Arabidopsis thaliana: one gene and its partners. The protein of the gene in region 2 interacts with the protein of the main gene of each other region in a pairwise test. Each region holds a gene or a part of one and is shown on either strand. Other genes may lie near its edges.

Region 1 (4,359 bases), 1.3 Mb from region 2:
TGTGTTCTGCTTGGCCTGATACCATACAGATCACCAAGTTCTTTGTTCGTAAAAGCAGCCAGAACTCACCAAATGCCTATATTGGACCTGAATTCCAGTACTGTGATTTGATCACTTCTTTTTTAAACATAAACATTTTCTTTTTGTTTCTGATACGATGGAACTAAACTGTCTTTTGTTCAATTTTACAGGGAAATGGAAGATGAACTTCAAGACTCGGTTTATCGATTTTTGGAGGAAAGAGGTATAAGTGATGATCTTGCTGAGTTCTTGCATCAGTACATGAAGAACAAAGATAAAGCTGAGTATATTAGATGGATGGAGACTGTTAAATCTTATGTTGAGCAAAAATAAAATCTTCTGCCGACCACATTCTTAAGCAGCCAATGAATGTTCCCTTGGATATATGATTATATGGCTTAGATGGACTTTTATTGGCATGGTTCTTAGTTTCCAGAGGTAATGTGACATTTAAATCTAATATGGATTAGTTGCGAGCATATATATGATAATGATTATATTAAAGCCGTATTGCATGTAGGCGCCATGTACCCTTTTCAATGCAGCAACATACTCCCACAAATAAAAAGTTACAAGATGAGAGAAACAGATGGTTGTACTGTATGTGTGGCATCTCCAAAATAACTCAACATTTAACAAGCTCGTCTAGACTGCAAAGACAGGGATGAAATTTTCTGTACACAATATTTATGTTTTTGATCTTTAGATTCTTTACTAGAACACCGATAATTGCAGAACAAATTGACATCATGGGAAAACCAGACGTGGCCCAACATAAAGATGAAACGAAAGAAATGGGCAAATTCTACTTGGTTATCCAGTAAATGAATATGAGAAATGTGCATACAGCCGCAACGAGTGAAAGAATGATTGTATCCATCGACTTTTTCCTCTTTATCGCTGCCAGAATAGTGTTCACCTGCAGTGGTTTTAACCATCCAATTGCAGGGTGAGATATAGGATAAACACAGGCCATAACCGAACATAAAGAAAGCAACGAGCAAAAGAGTGTGTAAATAAGACTAGGAAAGCTCTTCGTACCGTAGGTAGACGGCTGGCGACATTGCTAAGCTTTGAGTTGATGCCTCCAAAAGTTGAACGTTGAAACACAAGCGTACCGAGTGTTGCCTGAGCTTGTGAAATGACACCGTCCATCTGCACCGTTTATATAATAGTCAGCTCACATAAGTCATGACGTGTTCGATTAACTTGAGAAAGCCAGGCCTATTGTACGCTACAGCTGTAGAGTCTAACAAAGGTTAATCGCAAAGGAGAGTTTATATACCTGAGCTGTATTGCGGTTGATTCCCATATGTTCCTTGATCAGGGCTTGTTCAGACCCATATCCATCTTCTAAATCTAATCTAGTCCGATCAAATTCTCTAAAGTCCTCAAGAAGTGAAGCATGCTCTTGTTTTGCTCTAAGACTGGAGCGGTGTCGATAAAACTCCTGCATTTTGAATGAGTCATACATACAGGAACAAGACTGATTTACAACGAAGGTTGAGTCATAAACTAGTCCAAGAGCAGAGTGTGAACAGATGGTTAAAAAGATAACACTCATTTCATTACTAATCAGTATATAATCAACACAAGCTATAGAATAAGGCAAATATTCAAATGGTATGAGTCAGGAAAGGAACAGTACCTGTGTCAGATCTTGAAGGATCTCTTGATGTCGAGTTAAAGTATGGGAGACCATTTCTGACCCACCAGAAGATACCCATGCTTGCATCTGAGCATTAACTTGTTGCAGTTGCCTAAGAAGTAAGTCAATCCCAGCTTCAAGATCACTCTCATTACCATCTGATTTTGATAAAGCCTTTGTGGAAACAAGTCTACGATATGAATGCATCTGCTCGTCAAGCTGAGCTTCAATCTTTCTAGCCTGTGGGATTCAATACAACACAAAGCTTATTCAAATATCAATTGGATCCAGTAAAAAGATAAATCATTGAGAATTAGCCAACAAAACCAATAAATTCCCCAATTCGAATCGAACCCAGAAGATTGATATCAATTCAGACCTCAAATATTCGAAATTCAAGACAGATTTTCAGACACTACCAGCTTCCCCAACACAATTACCTAGTAGCTTCGAATCAAACGACACAATAATTTTATAAAAAGAAAAATACCTGTTTCCGTAAAGCATCCCAAGAGCTAGGCACATCCATGGCGTCTACTGAATCTGTCAAAATCTCTCCTTTATGAAAGCGGATCGTGTCCTTTCCGGCAAGAGACCTTTTTCCGATATAAATCAGATGCGACAATCTTCTTCCTCGTCCTCGTCACCAAAGGTTTGAGCCCCTAAAAGATGCGATCCAATTGGTTCGAAATTGAGACAAGTAGTGAACGGAACGGATCGGATTGAGAGAAGGATAGAGTTGGTTCGGAGACGCAGACAGAATTTCTGCGTACCCCTTCAACGGAAAATTGCTTTTCAGTTTTGCGTAATCACAAATTAATTAATTCGATGACCTGAGATTCGGCGGGTATAATCCAGTGTTTTCCACCCTACAGTAAGTTTATATATAAGTTGACCTACACATTTAGTCAAACTTGCAAGCGATACGTGGATAATAGTAAACCTTAACATAAACGACATCGTTCTCCAGTAAAAATAGACCCGGCTCGATGGCTCGAGTCCTAGAAGCTTACCGGGTTCTCTCATCAAACTGCTCCATTCGGATATACTTCCACTCTCAAGTCTCACTCCCTCACAATCAATTCAAGCGATTGCCGCCCGTCGTCGCTTTCAAATTTGTTCTTCCGCCGGTAACTAATTCTCTTTCGCTTTGACTACGCTTTTGCTTCACTGCTTCGATCTCGTTCGGTTTCCTTCTGTTTGCTTCTTCAGAAATTCCTCGAATTGCTTTTGATCAATCTCAACTCAATCTGTGGATTACTATTTCATCGTGTTTTCACTTGTTGGTGCTCGGGAAAATTATGCAATTTTTCGAGTTGTTAATGGCTTTAGTTCTTCGTGTTTGCTCTTTAATGAATTACGAACTTTTTCCAAAGAGAAATAAGGTCTATTTTTTTTGGTGAAAGTAGGAGATTTTTTATGGCGGAGGGACAATTGACGAACATATCGGAGATGATACTGAAGAAGAGGAAGAAAGGGATGAGCTTGAATTGAGTAATTACGGCAACAATTACAGTAGCAGAGTGTTACATTAGTTGAAAGTTGAAAGATAGTTGTGCTCTTCATATTTTTTTATGGTCAATATCATTTTGTGGATAGAAAACTTTATCTTATAGTTTCTTAATGTTTGATGGTCAATGTCATTTTGTGGATATCTGAACACGCATCTTGACTTTTCGTTGAAGCTGCCACTTTCAATAAGATATTAGAACTTGCAGTCTGACTTTTAAATTTTCTAATCAATATCAGGAGGGCACGATTGTACTCTTTTTCCTCTTCTCCATTCAGTGCTCCTTATCTTGTGTTGTTTCCTGCATCGTCTTGATATTTGAAAGTTTGAGTAAGATGGGAAACTGTGTAGCACTAGAAATATCTTGTGATCAAACGTTGAATCATGCTTGTGGCTGCTTATTTGGTGATCGGAATTACATTCTCAAGATGGAGGCTAATCTCGAGGCTCTGCAGAATACTATGCAAGAGCTCGAGGAGAGAAGAGATGATCTGTTAAGAAGAGTTGTCATAGAAGAAGACAAAGGTTTGCAACGGCTTGCTCAAGTTCAAGGTTGGCTTTCAAGGGTTAAAGATGTTTGTTCTCAAGTCAATGATCTGCTGAAAGCTAAATCAATTCAAACTGAAAGGTTATGTCTCTGTGGATATTGTTCTAAGAATTTCATATCTGGCCGCAATTACGGAATAAATGTACTGAAAAAGTTGAAACACGTGGAAGGACTTCTAGCTAAAGGAGTTTTTGAAGTGGTGGCAGAGAAAATTCCTGCGCCTAAGGTGGAGAAGAAGCATATCCAAACCACAGTTGGGTTGGATGCAATGGTCGGAAGGGCATGGAACAGCCTCATGAAAGATGAACGAAGAACTTTGGGTCTTTATGGTATGGGGGGAGTAGGTAAAACCACGCTCTTAGCTTCTATTAACAACAAATTCCTTGAAGGGATGAATGGATTTGATCTTGTTATATGGGTTGTGGTTTCTAAAGATTTGCAAAATGAAGGCATTCAAGAACAGATTTTAGGAAGACTAGGTCTTCACAGGGGATGGAAACAAGTTACAGAAAAGGAGAAAGCCTCTTACATATGCAACATCCTCAACGTAAAGAAATTTGTGCTGTTATTGGATGATCTATGGAGCGAAGTAGATTTAGAAAAGATTGGAGTTCCACCTCTAACGCGAGAAAA
Region 2 (5,710 bases):
TTGTTTACTATTATTGAAGTTTGCTCCAATTAAATTACAGAAACCAAAACTTTCGTTTGTCCAACTTTGCCTTTCACTGACACTCACTCGTGTTGAATGGTGTGAATATGTGAATCCGTTACTTTGAGAATATAAACAAGGAACGGTAACTACAAAAACCATTTTCATGTTCTTGTAACGTATTATTTCGTTACTATCTGTAAATTGTCTAGATATTTTCCTAGTTTATTACTTTTGGAAGAAAATGACCTTAGTATTGTTTACTTGGTTCTGATTTCTTAATGAATGGTCAAATTGGACAGTGGGACATGCCAAGAATGTTATATAAAGAATGATTTTAAAATTGTTATTATATTGTTGTTTTCTTTTTCAAATCGACCGCCGTTTGCATTGGAAATAGTCCTTTCATGTTCGCCAAACAACAAAACTCCCAAAGCAGTTTCTATCACATGGTAGCTTTCCCATTTGGATCCAAAACACTAACATTTGCATTTCTGATTTTCTATACTTAATTCAAGATATTGTTGAATACACAAATATAGTGCTATTAATCTTGAGAATCCGAAAAATTACACACAAAAACAAAAAATCAAATTTAAAGGTATAATGATATGCTTGTACAAGATAAACAAATTATAATCAATGTCAAGAAGAAATACATTGAACAAAGCATGAAATACAGACACAGGGAAGGGACAAAAGAATGATCTGTAATGGAGAAAGCAAAAAGTGAAAATTTTGTCTTCTTCTTCCTCTTCTTGTTTTGATCATCTGAACAAAGCTTGGATCTCTTCAAGCGTTTTTCCTTTAGTCTCAGGAACCCAAAGACTCACAAAAACCACAGTGAATCCACAAACCAAAGCGTAGAGAGTGAAAGTTCCCCCACTGCTCCATGCTAACAGCATATTTGCAGTCATTGTCACTAACCATGACACGAACCAGTTTAACAAAGTTGCTATACTTCCGGCTAAACCCTTTATATTCACTGGCAGAATCTGTTTTACCAACATTAATCAGTATTAAAATTTCCAGTTGTGATTTTAACACTAAGGAACACCATGTTTTAATATTTAGTACCTCAGACATAATCAGCCATGGAATTGGTCCCATTCCTAGAGAGCAAGAAATAACCATAGCCTGTAAATAACTCAGCCAGATTTAGTACACATACCGGGAAATATGTAAATAAGAAAGTATCTTTCGTTGTGTGAATGTATAAAACAAACGACTTACCACAACTCCAACTACGGAAACCATGCTTAGAATGTTGTACATGTTGGAATCAGGTGATACAAATTCCTAACAAAAGATTAAGAAACCTCAATATCTCATAATTAGAGTGACACTCTTACATTGTACAAGTAGAGATGTCAAAAGTTAAAATGTTACCTTAAGGTAAAATGCAACTGCTACAATCACGAGGCTTATCGTCATTCCGATAGAAGAGATCTGCATTTCAGAAGAAAATGCTAATATTATGTTATGCATACATAAATTCTTCAGACTTTGTAAGATATACAGATGAATCTCAAATATTCTTCACCATGAGTAGAAGCCGACGACCTGCTTTATCCACCAACCATGTCGCTATCCCAGTCGCCACTACCTGGTATAGAATGAACAACGGTTAGAAAAATCGAATCTAATGTCTCCTAGATTGAAATGATATACCTGAACAACGCCAACTCCAAATGTCGCCACATTACTTGATGTCACCCCTTAGTGAATGATAATTGCAAACAAAGAAGCATAGTTAGAAATCTGTTTATTCTATCTTAGGACCATTCCAATAATCAAAAAAAACATATGACTCTACCTGCAGATTCAAAAATTGTACTCGAATAGAACAAGACACCATTGATTCCTCCAAGTTGTTGAAGTGCAAGCAGCCCTATACCAACCTGTAACACAGATTACAGGAAAAGAGTGAGTTTCTCTCATGTGTTGACAAAATTAGTTCAAGAGAGGTAAGAGAAATTGCACCATCAGTGGGAAATAGTATCTCCTGCGCTTGAGGTCTACAAACCGAACTGCAGAACGTTTGCTAGATGATGCCACAGATCTCTGCAGAGTGCATAAAATGAAAATTTTAAATAAGACAAGAAATCACATCAAAGCATTTCTTCAGTTTAGTCACTACCTTGATTTCATTAACCTCAACGGTAATATCAGTCTCAAATCCACGAAGAACTTGCAATGAAGTTTCGAAATCATCTGTCAAACCCATCTTTGCCTACAATTACAACACCAAAACAATTTAGGATAACCAATAATGCAACAAACTCAACAATATAAGCAATACGGTTGTAGAGGCATACCAACCACCGAGGAGATTCAGGAATGAAAAAAAGACCCGGTATCAACAATGTACATGGCAATACTCCTAAACATAAAGAAGACAAACAAGAAAGTGATTAGACTGTATCGATCAAAATAAAATAAAAACAGGTATAGTTTCTCCCAAGTCAAGTCAAAATGTTTTGTGAGTTACCCAAAACTGCAAGAATTCTCCATGGAACAAAGAGACCGAGTAAATACGCCAGCATTATCCCAATTGTTACAGAAAGCTATAAACACAAAACATTTATTGTTTAGTGTTAACATATGAATCAGCTCATAAAATGAAACATAAAAATAGTGAAGCTAACTAAACATGACAAACCTGGTTAACTGAACCTAAGGCTCCTCTCATGGTCTGTGGAGCGATCTCAGCTATATATACGGGAACCTAAAATCGCAATTCAAAGGTGTGTAATTATATTGATCACTCCAAACAAACATTGCTGAAATCAAAGAAATAGTTGAATCTAATATTACCGTATAGGAGATAATCCCAACTCCGAAGCCTTCTAACAATCTTCCCATGTAAAGAAAAGAAGTATCCTAAACAAAAACCAAGAACAACAACAACTTAGTAGGTATAGAGATAAGCCAAGAATATCAGAAACTTTGAGAACACCAAAACACTCACTTTTGCAAATGATATCGAAAGCCATCCAATAATATTGGGAATTGCAGCAATCATCAGAGACTGTCAAAAGGAAAGAAAAACACAGTAAATAAGATACAACAAGAAAGAAGATGTTACATGACAAATTGTCACAGATGAGAACATGTTTTAGAATCAAGAAACAAAACTATTATACCCCTTTCCGTCCAACGTATTCAGCAATCTGACCACTCGCAATTGCTCCAACCATAGCACCCACATTGGATAGAGACCCAAACACAGAGTACTAAAACATCAAACAAGAAACCTAAAAGTCAGAAAATTACAGAACAAGAGTCTTTACAAAAAAAAAAAAAAAAAACAGAACAGTTCTTAAATAAAGATGGGACCTTCATACCTCTGATACAGTTAAACCAAGATCCTTAGTAATGGCAGCTTGAGTTGGTGAGGAATAACCACACTGAAAACAAAAAGATAAATCAAAATCAACACTTTCTTAGTCAATTTGAGCAAAAGCAGAGAAATCCACATTGATAAAAAAAAATATAAGAAAGTTGAGATATTTGTTTATGTTGTTCTTACAGTGAATCCGAATTGAATAGGACCAAGAGCAACAATCAAAACACAAGCTAAGACAGAAATTGAGCTGTCTCGAATAACTTGAGACGATTCCAACATACTAGATTGTCTCGAACCCATCCGATACCAACTTCCTGTGTGTAAGAACGGTCGCCGAAGATCATTTCTTCCCTCTTCCGTATTATCATCCCTAAAACTCATCTTTTTGTTTTTCTTAAATCTACAAAACAATCGTAATCTACAGAGAGAAAAAAGCACGAATCTTTCGGAGGATAAAAATGTCGATCCTAAACTAGAAAATGCAGAAGAAGAAAAATACGAAATTTGAGGTAGGATTTGAGTTTTGGGTGAATTCAAAAAGATGTTAGACTTGTTTTGCTTAAGAATTCTTCATGGTTTGTAAAAATTGAGCCTTTGCGTGGAGAGACGCAGACTGTTTCATAGTTTTCCACCTCAGAACGCGTCGCCTAACATCGATTTATAGAATTCGTAAAGGGACCTGTTTTTTTTCTTCTCTGTCGACAAAAAAAAACTTAATTTAAAAACATTTTAATTTGTAATTAAATAAGATATCGTTCATTTTAAATTCTTTTATATCAAATTTAACTATTGTTTTTTTTTGTCTGATTGTCGTTTTCGAGTTATTTTTTGCGCAAAGATAATTTTTTGAATCATTGTCCCATGTTCGCTCACATATACAAGCATTTGTAGTCGCTTTGAATCATTTATTTTCTTCTACATACTTCTACATACTCATTAGTATTATAATGAGCTTTTACAATGTAACTAATTACGCAACAATACTATAAAATTGTGGTACAGGCTGAGACTAAACTATATTGTATTTTTAAGAAAATGTTTTTCTTTTTGTTTAGGTAAACTGTCTACTTCAAAGATATTTTTTGGTAGGAATAATAATTAAAACTTCCCATATTAGAATACGAGGCCACTAGACATTCCTTTTGACAACAAAAAGTGACAATGTCATTTTATATTTTAGCACTTATAATAATAGTTAGCATGCATTATAGAATTCATATTTAGATGTTGTCCTAACTCTTAACAAAATCAGAATAACAATATTGTGGGAGAAAATTTAGCTAAAACTTCAATTTAGGACAAATAATAAGATTATTAAAGTAACACTTAAATATGAATATAATGCTCGAATCCTCCTCTACTTTTTAGCATTTTCGCTACCTCGTTGATATTGATGTCGATAGGTCACAAATATGCAAGTGACATTATTTTATTAGATAAACTCGAATAATTATAGTTTTTGTTTTCTAGTATATGAAAAATATATGGATGTCATTAATTTCGAATACTTCAATAAATATAAATATTTATTCAGATACAACATTATTTATTTATTTTCAATATTTAAAATCTTTGAGAATACGACATGTTATTTCAATGTTTACCAATAACATCCTACTATATTATTTAGGAAATACATTTTAAATATAACTTTATTTTTTTGTAAGTAATTACATAGGTATGTCATTAGAAATAAGATTTTAAAGAGTAAATTAATTTATTTCTTTAAAAATTAAAAGTCAAATACTAATTTAATTAATTAAATTTAACTCAAAAACGAAATACATTATTAATTTCCAAAAAAGTAACCAATTAAAATCAACAAATTAGATTTGATATCTAAATTATCATATTAATTTTTTATTAATTATTATAGTTCACCTCTCATCTTTATATGATTCTATTTTTGCAAAAAAATAATATCATCGTTATAAAAAAATAATTAGAATTTTTTCGCATATGCCACAATTTGAATTTTTAAAAACGAATATAAACTGTTCAATACATGAAAAAATACTATAACGGGTCAAAAGTAGATTTAAGAAATTTTTTTACTGAGTACTGTGTCATAGTTTGAATATTTATATTCAATTTCATACATATTATTTTAAAATTTATAATCTTATATACTACAATAATTAATAACATATTAGATTTTTTAATGTGTATGATGTGATTCAATTTTTAATACAAGCTGAAAAATCCTACAATTGACGGGTTTAAATCAATATTAATACAAGATGATATACTATATGTGAAACTTTAAAATTAACAATCAAAATACAAGTATATAATTTTAAACACTAAACAATATAAATAATATCAACAAAACATATACAACTCGCAGTTTACTATACATTT
Region 3 (5,915 bases), on a different chromosome or scaffold from region 2:
GTATTTTGTCTGATTCTCTCTTTGATGTGTGTTTAAACTTGGAACAGGTTTATAACCAAGAAATACAGCTCAGCGAAGACGCAGGTCGAGGCTGGTCCGGCTACAGCCTGTACCGGTGCCTTTGCTTAAACATTTGAAAACTTTCAGGTGACCGGAAAAGTTAGAAGCGACCTGTTTCTTTGCCCTACTCTGGTGTATGGTGGATTAATTTGCTATCCGGACAGGACTTTACTGCTCTCTTTTGAAACTTGAGTGTCAGGAGAATAAAATCTAAGCTTCTTTTTTTGGCTCAATCAAGTTGTCCGTTCCCTGTTCTAAACATTTCGGATACTCATTCCATAAAAAGTCTCTACAATTTGAGACGCTCTCCTTTGTGGTTAAGACTTGAGAATGTATCTTAGAAAATAACCGAAGTAGTTGTGTCTATGAATATTAAATTCAGGAATATTAAGATGTCACTAATATCAGAAGCAAGCAGCAACTAGAATATGCACTTCGTGGTAAATGGGCATTAGAAATTCTACAACACTTATTAAAGAACCGTACTAAACACTAGTTACTTGGATGAAAGTTACATATAAAAGTTTATATTAATCGACTAAGATTATTTGCTTGACTTTAGAGAAAGTTTGCATATATGTACCACAAATTGGTAACACTGCAAATAAAAAAACAAAAAAAACTGCAGGATAATGAAAATGTACTCCATATATGCACCTCCTAACTAGAGATGAAGCCTCCAAAATCATAGTCAATATGATTTATATTTGCAACACATATTTAGCCAACTGCCTTTGAACTTTGATAATTATATAAAACCCCCTTAACAAGTAAGAAAAACAAAAACTGAGACATGTGCAAGTAAGCTAAGACTTTTTCTTCTACTCATGGGGTTTTTCCTTTTGTTGCTTCTTCTATATGACGCCTGAAACTTTCAAAGAAGAAAGAACAACGAAGACGACCCAAAGCATCATGAAATAGGCAGAAGTAAGCCAAGCCCATAGCCTTGGACCTCCAAGCTCAGCTCCTATAATCAACCTTCTCAACACAAGCACCACGATACATCCCACTGATGTCGCAAAGAATATCAGAAGCGAAAAGCTTAATCCTTTAGCGTTTTCTATGTATAAAGGCTCTCTGTATGCAAAGTAGTTGTAGACTGTGTTTATCAGCCACGGAACTCCAATCCCCACATAGATGTTCACCGAGTTACTGCATAATTTATCACCAAAAAGATCATGAAAAGATCTTCAATGTTTGTAAAGGGTTTTGAGATTTTTACCTGCAGGTGATGTTTGCAATAGCTGAATCTGCGGTTAGTTGTCGCTCTGCAGCGATTTTACTTGCTACTAAGTCTGGCCATGAAGTTCCACTTGCGAGTGCTGTGAATGCTATCACATATGGGTTTATTCCTGCAAGATGAAAAGAGTTTCTAATGTTTTAGAGCTCAAATGTTTAATCTTATAACTTCAGTTTTTGAAAGCGGTGAGGGTGTGTACCAGTGACACAGCTTATAAGGTCAGTAAATCTTGTGACAACAAAGGCTACTCCACTGATGAAGAGGAGAGAGCAGATGAAAGCGATCCAACCGTGAGCAATGTTGCAGGGGGGCACAAATGCAAAAAGCAGTTTCCAAGGGGCGAGGAGTAAATGCCAGAAAGATTTCGCGATTCGAAGATAAATGCTATCCACTTTCTTTGATTCTGATGTTTCCAACTGTTTGATTACGAATAGGAAGAGAAACAAGTTAAGAAAGATGTGTTGATAATGATCAAAAGCCCAAAATAGGATATAGAAGAATCTAGAAAACACTTGGTAAGTTGAAGATTTTTACCGTTATTGCATCCACGAATTGATGTTTCCAAATGTCAAAAACAGTAGAATTCTTCGCCTTACCCTTCTTAGTCGCAGAATCGGGTGGAGTATCTGCCACAGTATGATAAGTGATCCCTGCAAAAGTGTTTGTTACAGGGAAAGTTTGATTTATAACAATATACTACCAGAGATAAATATGGGAATCACATAGATTTGGAAATAAGCAAATACGCTAAAACTGATCTTATATCAATAGAATAGACAGCCTAATCATACTTAGTACCTGTATCATTGTTAGCTGAATGAATAGAGAAGATATCAACAATGTTTCTGCTTCCCGATTCAACAGCATCTTGAGCAGCATCCGAATACACATCATGAACATCATTGTCATTGTCATCTTTGGATGTATCAATCTCCTCTGGAACCCACTCCTCTGGCCTATCACCTCTTGACCTGCAAGTATCAAATACAAACACAAAGATACAATCTTTAGTAGAAATCCATTTTGAAGGAACTAATATTATTGTCTGGAAAAGAAACCCACATTGGTAAAGACAAGTAAGGCCATCGCTTGTCTTGGGCGTACGCATGAACTAGAAGCAATCCGTATTGCAGTACTGTCAATAATGCCTCCACAAGTGTAATTACGTTTGGTGACCACACCTGTGAGACGTGAAAAGAAACAGATTTTTAGACCTTATCAGTATAGAGTATAGACTCAACAGAATCTGTTTAAACCGCTTTTCACAGTTACCTCGAGGATTATGTATAGCCAGATGTAAGCCCAAAAAGACCATACGAGCTCAACTAGCCAAACACCTAAGTCGGATATCTTTTTCAGTTCTCCAGCTTTTGGCACAACGACACAAACAGCGTGGATGGGGAAAAGATCAAATGCAGCTGAGCCAACAAGTGTTCCAGGACCAAGACCTATATGACAAAACATGATATAAGAATTCATGAACTTAAAAGTAAAAACTAGAGTTTTGGAAGGAAGAAAGGAACAACCACCAGACCTCCAGCATACCGCTCCCCCATATTCCGTATTGCATCGATGGTAGCCAAAGAAATCTGAGGGAAGCTAGTTCCAAACGCCAACAAACTGATGTCTGCAATAGTAAAGTTCCAAACTTTCTTGTATGTGATGACTTCAGCTTTAGTAATGGGATCAATTGTAACCACTTTACGGGAATGTTTCACGACATTCTCCATAGACTTGAAGAACCGTGCAGTGATGGCTGACAACCCAATAAAGCAGTAGGCAAGACCGAGAAAATATAACACACCCCTCAAACCATCTGACAAAGTGTTTTCTCCGGGGAATAGAAAGAAGTTTTCACATCTTAAATGCCCAAGAACCTTAGAAGATTCTTGCAACTCCTGGGTTTGATTAAGAATTGAGGCCATTGTAACTTATTCAAACCCCACCTCCTAATAAGTCAACTGAACACTTGTCCTCACTGGGGAAAAGAATCTGGCACACCAAAAAGAAGCTTACAACTTTTAGAAGAAACTGATGAAACCTGTAGCCTGATCGATCGAACAGTATCAAGAGGATGCGAAACAAACGGAACATGCAAAAAGATTTCTTTCCAGAGAATCTGTAACACAAACTAAACATTGCAAAGGATCCAATGGCATGTAACCGAAATCCAATCTATAACCAATGCTAATAACAATTGCATGTTCCACTGTATGCGTAATCAAAATCCAGAGGTAACCAGATCAAAAGATTATAACTTTCATCATGGGTTCAGTAAAACAAGTTGGGTTCTTTTCACAAAACCATAATTTTCAACGAACAAATCTCAACAAAAATAGCTAAAAAATAAGAAAAGAACAGATGAAACAGAGTGAGCCACGCGACGAAATTGATCAATGCGGACGTACCGGAGAATATCTCGGTGAGCGGCATTCACAATACGCCGATCACGGGAGAGATTTTCCGACAAACGGAAATCGAGAGGAGCTGATTGGAATCGGTCAAGCGTTGGATATTGCGGTGGAGACTTGGGAGCCATTTATACACATCTCTCTAATCTCTGCATGACACACTTCAATTATTGTATCGAAACGAGGATTCAAGCGTACATCGACCGACACGTGATCTTATCTAATTGGATGATTTACTTGACTAACTAGGATTAATTAATCTCGCCTTTCTTTGGTAAGGTTTAAGAATATGAGACCTCAATTGCAAGTTTTTTTTATATCTTTTTACTCCCTGAATTTTGTTTCATTTCATCCTTATAAGCATTAGATTTTAATTTCAACCTGAGTAATATTAGTTTTATCATCTCCTCGAGTTTAGATATTATCATAAACATATATCTTACTAAAAACCTGACCTGACTAATTTATTTTCTTTATAAAAGATAAACATGATAAATATGAAGTGTGAACGCATTATCAAATCAGAATTAGTGGATATATATGTATTTTGTTTTTTTCTGATTAAAAAAATTATTGAGATATATACAATTGAACTATGAGGACAAAAAATATATATATATATATATATCTTATTATATAAAGTATGGTTTTCAAAATTGACTTGGCACAGTGTCAAGTCAAACGATTAGATGTTTACATGTGTCATTCAAAATTTAACTTTTTTATTCTTTAAAAAAATAGAAAATCTTAAAAAGTAAACAAATTTACATATACTAATTTATATGTCTATATATTTATAAACAATTAACATTTATTCAACAAAAGCAAAATTAACAAATTTGTCTTTAACTCATGTAATCATAAGTGAAAATAGAACACTTTGAGAAAAATAGCTTAGCTTATAGGATTTAACTTTTCAATTATTTTCATTTATTAATTTTAACTCATTTAATATTAATTTGCATGATGTAAAATTAACTTACGAGATTACGTGGGTGATTGGTTTGTCTGTAACTGTAGATTTACTGCTGTAGAATTTTTGTTGTAGGTGTGATGACTGTAGCTGTAAGTTTTATTGCTGTAGAAATTAGACTGTAGGTTTTATTAATATAATTATTACTTAAAGAAATTGGGTAGAAATAAGATTTTGGTTGTATGTATTTTTAAACAAAAAAATATTATCGGGTCGGGTTCGGTTTGGGTTCGGGTTCGGGTTCGAGTTATTTATATATTGAAATATCAAATTTTGTGTGCAAATCTATTAAATTACTTGAAATTTTCAAAAATTCCCAAAACAACATGAGTAGTTTTGCTTGAATATATCTAAAAATACACAAAAATAACTAAAATATCCAAAAAAATTCTAATATTTTCTATATATAAGTATAAATATAACTAATATATACTTATATTTGAGATATGTTTGCATACCTATTCGGGTTTGGGTTTGAGTTTTTCGGGTTTTAAAGTTTATATCCGTTCGAGTATTTGAAAATTTCGGGTACACCCGCCTAAATAGGCGGACCTTATCTAGTATATATATACATTTGAACTATATTGTTTACTTTTTAGTTGATTTAGGCTATGTATGACATTGACATAAATCTACCTGTTATTTATCACGTGTAATTCGTGTAAAGTGTAAACTAGAAAGTTCAAATACGTATTTGTTTTTGTTCTGTTATATAGGATTGTCATAGTTGTAAATCTACAATTTATTACAACATGAATAAGTACACAAGCAATGTAATTGGATTTAATTGCTAAACTCTTTACATGGTCAATCTAAATTTGATAAGAAATACGTCACATATTACTAAGACTGATAGTTTTTTTGTTGTCACCAATTATTTTTGTTAAATTGACGAAAACAATTCCAAAAACTCAAATGTACAAAATCATACAGTCTCACAAACATCTCATAGAGAAAGATATAAATCTCCCATATGGGAACGATAACACGAGGTCGAAATACTATTCGTAAAACTAAAACGCCTTAGTTATAAATCGTTAGTTGTAACCGCGGTCGAGAATACATACAGATCCACGAAACTACTACTACACATGCTGCTGAATTGGAATTTGGAAAAGACCATCTTCTTTAGGAAGAGCTCACCCAATGAGTGACAAAGGTGTCGGTGGCTTGTTTTCTACCCATATGTATACATCAAATGGTAGTTTCATTAACGTTTGGTTTTGAGAAA
Region 4 (5,479 bases), 3.5 Mb from region 2:
AGGATTAGGGGATGCATCTCTTGGTTAGATGCGCCATATGGGTAGGTAACCGCAAGGCAATTGTTTGGTTACATGGCGGTTATGATGGTAGCCATCAAGTGACATACGACCACAAAACCTTGAAAATGACTTTGTAAGCAAATGCAGAGTAGAAACGTTAATAGAAAACCAAACTTGCCTTGATCCTCTATTGCCCAACTCCTCCAATACATAAGATGTGATAGCAACTTATGTAGGACACACCAAACCAAATAAATTACACAATCTGTGAGTGTCTGTTTTCAAGATTTCCCCGACAATTCCATTAAGCAAAATAAATAATAATAACTCGAAATTGACACAACCACACGAATTTGAAAAAAGCTGAAATCCATATCTCATGGGACTCAAACATCCAATGTTGATTCAATAATTGTAGTCCTAAAAATAAATCAATAACTAATACATTTTCATAAATTTTAGTACTAATACATAAGTTAGCATTTTGGTTTTTAACATAGCTGAAAACAGAACGTCACATTATTTGGAGAAACATTAAGTACTAAATATTTAGCATGAAATAAATTTCATATAATTCATATGGATCACAAGGTTTTTTTTTGGCAAACATAGATTATAAGTCACACTAGTCTAAATTCTTGAAGGGCTTGTATGACTTGACACTATTAATTAAGCCAATGATGGATCCTACGGCGGCAAGGGCCGAGACGATCAAGCAAACCAATACGAGGAGGTTCAAGGCCAACCATCTACGAGAATACTTCTTGACTTTAGCCTGCGCAATGTGCATTGCCACCGGAAAATAAACTGTGAGTGGCCAGAACGCGAATGCCCCTAGCAAACCCAAGATCGCATTGAAGAAGGGGAATATCATTGCTACAAATGTTGTCAAAACAACATAGCATGTCCTCCAAACCAGTCTGAAGAGGTTGACACGACATTTTCCAAGCAAAGGAACCTTTGACGAGTATTCTTTGTTGATGAAATTGCTTTGAGGCCATTTTTTGTTGCAGTTTTCCTCAACAAACTGGAAAAACGGCTGCGCATACACCTGCGAATAATACAGGGATAAAAAAAAAAAAAGAGCATTTTTTAGAAACAATATTTAGTAATAACTCCATTTCTACAATCTTCTGAATTGTTAAAGCTAAAAATTCTAACACAATAATGAGACTTTTAATGAACTTGAACACGGTAAATGTATGTTACACACTTATCCTATTCTTTTGTTTGTGAGTTATACCTGATAGGCACCTATTAGATGGAGAGCAATGCAAGCATTGGCAAAGTCGATGAGCCAATAAGGTTCGTAAAAACCAAAATCGGTAAGGAAGTCACCAGGGGCTTGGTTGCCGAACGCAGCATATCCGATGCAACCACACAAGATGTAGAAAACAGTTGTGGTTGAGACTCCGACAAGACTTGCTCGTTTCATCACTTTGTTCTCTGGTGGGCTTGATCTCAATGTGTCCTGCAAAATAAACAAGACATACTACTAGAGCGTCACTATCTTTAGAGCTTCACATATCTAAAATATGAAACTATTTTTATCCATCATCCATCCATCTATATTTTTTCCTAACTGTCTAATTAATAATAACATCTTATCTTCAAGGTATTCTTATTTTACCTCTCTTTGGCGAAATTAATAATAACAAGCAAATGAAAACAATAGTAAACGGAAGATAGTAGGAATCAGTAGTACATGCCTGAATCTCGATGAGAATAGTGGTAAAAGCGTATGAAAAGGCAATGTCTCCAATCGCTTGAAACAATTTCCAAACTTTTTCAGACGCAGTTACGTCCACACCTATCACTGTCCCTGTCAATTCTGTCTTACCAATCTTCCCACCTTTCATATATATTGTATACCATTTTCACGGTTAGTGTCAACTTTGAAGAATCATCCATATAAACCACTATGTTTTAAGATAAAGAAGGGGAATGTACTTGCTACAGTAGCGATGGCTAGGCCTATTCCGATAGACGCATAAGAGAAGGACATAACCGCGGCGATGATGGATAGGAAAGAGAGCTTGTGGAAGTTAGGAAGCTGGCTCAGAATGATCTGGACGATCCCAAATGCCGCCATGTATGGATAATTCGATACAGAACATTTCGCTTTATGTCCCTTGTCATGATAACAATTTGATTTCCCAATCGCTCTAACGAAGACGTACAAAAACACCAATCAAACAATTATTAGTAATTTTATTCAGAACAACATGTTAGTATAACCATAACAAAATAATCGAAATAAATCAGAATCTTTGACTTACACTAAGCTTATGGAGGCAGTGATGGTGTAACCAATAGTGACCCCTACGAGATTCACGTACTGTGCCACTCCACATAGCTGAACCTTTTTACCACCTGCGTTTTATGTTATTAAAGAAGAAAAATGATTACTCTTGTACTACTATCAAATACTACCAATCTTTTGGTCTTATGGCAAAGTTTCTAAACATCCCGCATAATTCCAAATTTTCAACGAGGGGTCAACAATCGAATTTATAACATTCTTTAACGGGATAAATTGAATTGACTATGTTACCAATCCTAATCAATTTAATTTATTAACTAAGTTATGAAAGAATGAAGATTATCTTCCTTTTTTTTATATAGATTTTGATAATTAATTCATATCTTCCCATGAAAGAGCATGCACACTTGGCAAAATCGTAAATCATTTTTTTCTAACAACCATATTTTTTTCTTTCATTGTTCAACAACAATAATGTTCTTCAACAAATTTACATGGTAAAAAATTGTTGAAATGAGCCAATTATACTGTAGATTTACAAATTCCAACTTAGCATTAAATATATATTTTTAGATCAGATTTTTTTTCTTTCGCCAGCCATCATCATTGTGACAGAAATGGAAGAAAATCAAAACACATGTCCTAAATTGAGACTAGTTAGGCAAAATCTAAATGATATCAAATGAACAAAATCCTTGTTCATCTGAGAAAAAATGTCTAGAAAACTGAAAAATCTGTGAAAAACAATGCTGATAAAGACACAAAATGAATTTGTTTATATGAATCCATACCAAGGTAAGATCGGACGACGCCCATGTAATTATAGTTGCGTGTTCCGGTGATGGAGTCCGGCGAACGGTAACAGTCGGCGAGCAAGGTGGACGTGTAGTAAGTAATGATGGCGAAAGCGACCAAAACTGTGGTTCCTGCCACCCAACCAAGCTGTGCTATAGCCCAAGCCAACGACAGCACCCCTGAGCCTATGACCGCCGTGATTATGTGCGCACTCGCCGTCCAAAATGTTCCCGTTCTCTTCTCTCGACCATCGTCGTCGACGCTTTTCACGGCGGCGTCACCCGACTCCACCGCCGAGGGATTGTTGTATGCGTCCATCATTGTGAGAGAACCACTGAACCAGAGGAGAGAAGAGAGGGGAAGAGAGTTATTGACAGAGGTCGTCTTATTAGAGTACTCCCTCACAATCACGTACTTACATGTATTATATACACAAATATCGATGTTTATATGGAAAGAGCATCTTTGTACGTTGAATCTTATTTATTAAGAGAATCTTCTATTACGAGGATTTATTTCTTTTGACTTTGATTTTGAATGTGTAACCACTATTGCTTATTCCGGAAACAAAAATTGGTCCGCATGTTGAAAAGAGGATTTACCTACATTAACGACACTACGAATAATCGAAATTAGGTAACTGATTAAAATTAGATGAGTAAAACAGAGAGATATTTCCTTCAGATCTTGGCCTCTTGCATAGCTATATCCTCTCTTCTATCTTGCTCATTTATCTTCTCAAATCCTCACATGCACATGATTCATTAATCGGGAAATTAAATCATTAACATTGAGTTATAATGATGTATTGATGTGAATCTATATATATATATTGTTGTATCAACTAAATATTATGATATATCTACAACATTTTGTTATTAGTATCGCATCAAATACAAAATTATGTGGATTTACATGTTTGTATTATATTTTACTACTATTTTAACGGTTTACAAAAACATGTAAACCAAACCATAAATTTCACTAATTTCAATTATGTACGATTTTGAGTCTTCATTACTTCTTATCGTTTCTTTCACTCTTATAGTCTTATCTCACAATCCGTAATTTGTGCACAATTAATGAATTCAATGTTGTATTTTGTCGTATTAAATATGGATTTTGACCAACATAAACCTGATTTTTTAGTGGATTATTTTAAAATATATCCACAAAATATTCCTTCGAATAAAATCCCATTCTAACTATATCCATAAAATGCCCATCCCAATTGTCGAGACAGAATCAGATATCTAAAATGACACATAATAAATGTCGCATATTACACCATTAAAGTACGGTACGTTGACCTCCTACCTGACTATGAACAGCTCATCAGACAGCTCCCTGTGCCCTCAAGTAGGGGTGTGGATAAATTGGTCTGGTTACCGGTAAAATCTGGAGAGTATACCTCAAGATCAGGTTACGGGGTAACATCCTTGACAGTGCTACCAACAGCTCAGGTCCGCTTTAACTGGCAAGCAAACCTTTGGAAACTCCACACTATGCCGAAGATCAAACTTTTCCTATGGAAGGCGGCTGCAGGAGCTCTCCCTGTGGGTGCACAACTCGTAAGAAGGCATATATCATCAACTTGGGATTGTGCACGCTGTGGGGCTCCGGAGACTTCCACCCACATGCTGTTTCACTGTGATTTTGCGGCACAAGTTTGGAACCTAGCGCCCCTCCAATTGGGTCACATCCCTATCGGTACCCCTATTTTGGAAGCTCTTAACTTACTTAAGAAAACCATCGTTCTCCCCCCGGTTGGGATTCATACAGCAACCCTCTTCCCCTGGATCTGTTGGCACATCTGGAAAGCCAGAAATCAGCTTATCTTCCAAAATTCTCATTTCTCTGTGATAGAGACTGTTACAAAGGCGGTTCAGGATGCCTTAGCGTGGCAATCCGCCCAATTGGCGCTCCCAAAAGTTCGTGTAGCGACCCCCCGCCCAAACTCCACAACAACTCTGACTCATGATTTTCTCTGCTACGTGGATGCGGCTTGGCAACAACAGAGCTCCCTCGCTGGCTCTGGCTGGGTGTTCCAAGCAACCTCACACTCGGAGAAAGAAATTACCACCTTCTCAGCCGGATGCCGTCGGTTCCCCTCGCCCTTAGCGGCGGAGGCTTGGGCTATCAAATCGGCGATGCTACATGCTTTACAACTGGAAAGATCCGATCTCCTTGTGTTATCGGACTCAAAATCCATAGTTGATGCTTTGAACTCCAATGTCTCCCTCAATGAGATATTTGGCCTTCTAGTGGAAATTCGATCTATTCGAAACAGATTCCGCTCTATCTCCTTTCAATTTATCCCTCGCTTAGTTAATTCGATTGCTGATGCTGCGGCTAAGCTCTCCCTTTGTATTTCTGGTAATATCGGGCTTGACCCGGGTACTCTTGTTTTTGTTTGATTTG

What was found.
Region 1: the proteins of AT1G19450 (region 2) and GOS11 interact in a protein complementation assay, tested with the Arabidopsis thaliana proteins (one large-scale study listed by BioGRID).
Region 3: the proteins of AT1G19450 (region 2) and MHX interact in a protein complementation assay, tested with the Arabidopsis thaliana proteins (one large-scale study listed by BioGRID).
Region 4: the proteins of AT1G19450 (region 2) and AAP8 interact in a protein complementation assay, tested with the Arabidopsis thaliana proteins (one large-scale study listed by BioGRID).

What each region holds. Positions count from the first base shown.
Region 1 is NC_003070.9:5,457,892-5,462,250, forward strand, and holds GOS11 (golgi snare 11), read right to left. Parts: upstream 2,469-4,359; 5' UTR 2,199-2,468; coding exon 2,160-2,198; intron 1,910-2,159; coding exon 1,670-1,909; intron 1,472-1,669; coding exon 1,307-1,471; intron 1,177-1,306; coding exon 1,063-1,176; intron 941-1,062; coding exon 827-940; 3' UTR 507-826; downstream 1-506. Other genes in the region: AT1G15870 (Mitochondrial glycoprotein family protein), read left to right, coding at 1-97, 192-354; AT1G15885 (uncharacterized protein), read left to right, coding at 2,659-2,799, 3,079-3,204; AT1G15890 (Disease resistance protein (CC-NBS-LRR class) family), read left to right, coding at 3,515-4,359. UniProt on the Arabidopsis thaliana protein: Involved in transport from the ER to the Golgi apparatus as well as in intra-Golgi transport. It belongs to a super-family of proteins called t-SNAREs or soluble NSF (N-ethylmaleimide-sensitive factor) attachment protein receptor.
Region 2 is NC_003070.9:6,730,904-6,736,613, forward strand, and holds AT1G19450 (Major facilitator superfamily protein), read right to left. Parts: upstream 4,122-5,710; 5' UTR 3,731-4,121; coding exon 3,533-3,730; intron 3,411-3,532; coding exon 3,348-3,410; intron 3,237-3,347; coding exon 3,147-3,236; intron 3,032-3,146; coding exon 2,972-3,031; intron 2,884-2,971; coding exon 2,818-2,883; intron 2,729-2,817; coding exon 2,663-2,728; intron 2,568-2,662; coding exon 2,492-2,567; intron 2,384-2,491; coding exon 2,319-2,383; intron 2,234-2,318; coding exon 2,141-2,233; intron 2,065-2,140; coding exon 1,984-2,064; intron 1,902-1,983; coding exon 1,817-1,901; intron 1,719-1,816; coding exon 1,672-1,718; intron 1,607-1,671; coding exon 1,544-1,606; intron 1,450-1,543; coding exon 1,390-1,449; intron 1,300-1,389; coding exon 1,234-1,299; intron 1,138-1,233; coding exon 1,078-1,137; intron 996-1,077; coding exon 768-995; 3' UTR 508-767; downstream 1-507.
Region 3 is NC_003071.7:19,523,604-19,529,518, forward strand, and holds MHX (magnesium/proton exchanger), read right to left. Parts: upstream 3,978-5,915; 5' UTR 3,709-3,977; intron 3,293-3,708; 5' UTR 3,226-3,292; coding exon 2,835-3,225; intron 2,749-2,834; coding exon 2,573-2,748; intron 2,482-2,572; coding exon 2,363-2,481; intron 2,272-2,362; coding exon 2,099-2,271; intron 1,951-2,098; coding exon 1,835-1,950; intron 1,717-1,834; coding exon 1,500-1,716; intron 1,413-1,499; coding exon 1,283-1,412; intron 1,213-1,282; coding exon 915-1,212; 3' UTR 514-914; downstream 1-513. Other genes in the region: PHR2 (photolyase/blue-light receptor 2), read left to right, coding at 48-129.
Region 4 is NC_003070.9:3,263,873-3,269,351, reverse strand, and holds AAP8 (amino acid permease 8), read right to left. Parts: upstream 3,467-5,479; 5' UTR 3,380-3,466; coding exon 3,055-3,379; intron 2,374-3,054; coding exon 2,280-2,373; intron 2,166-2,279; coding exon 1,951-2,165; intron 1,853-1,950; coding exon 1,710-1,852; intron 1,472-1,709; coding exon 1,244-1,471; intron 1,052-1,243; coding exon 626-1,051; 3' UTR 529-625; downstream 1-528. Other genes in the region: AT1G10000 (Ribonuclease H-like superfamily protein), read left to right, coding at 4,564-5,475. UniProt on the Arabidopsis thaliana protein: Amino acid-proton symporter. Stereospecific transporter with a broad specificity for glutamate, aspartate and neutral and acidic amino acids.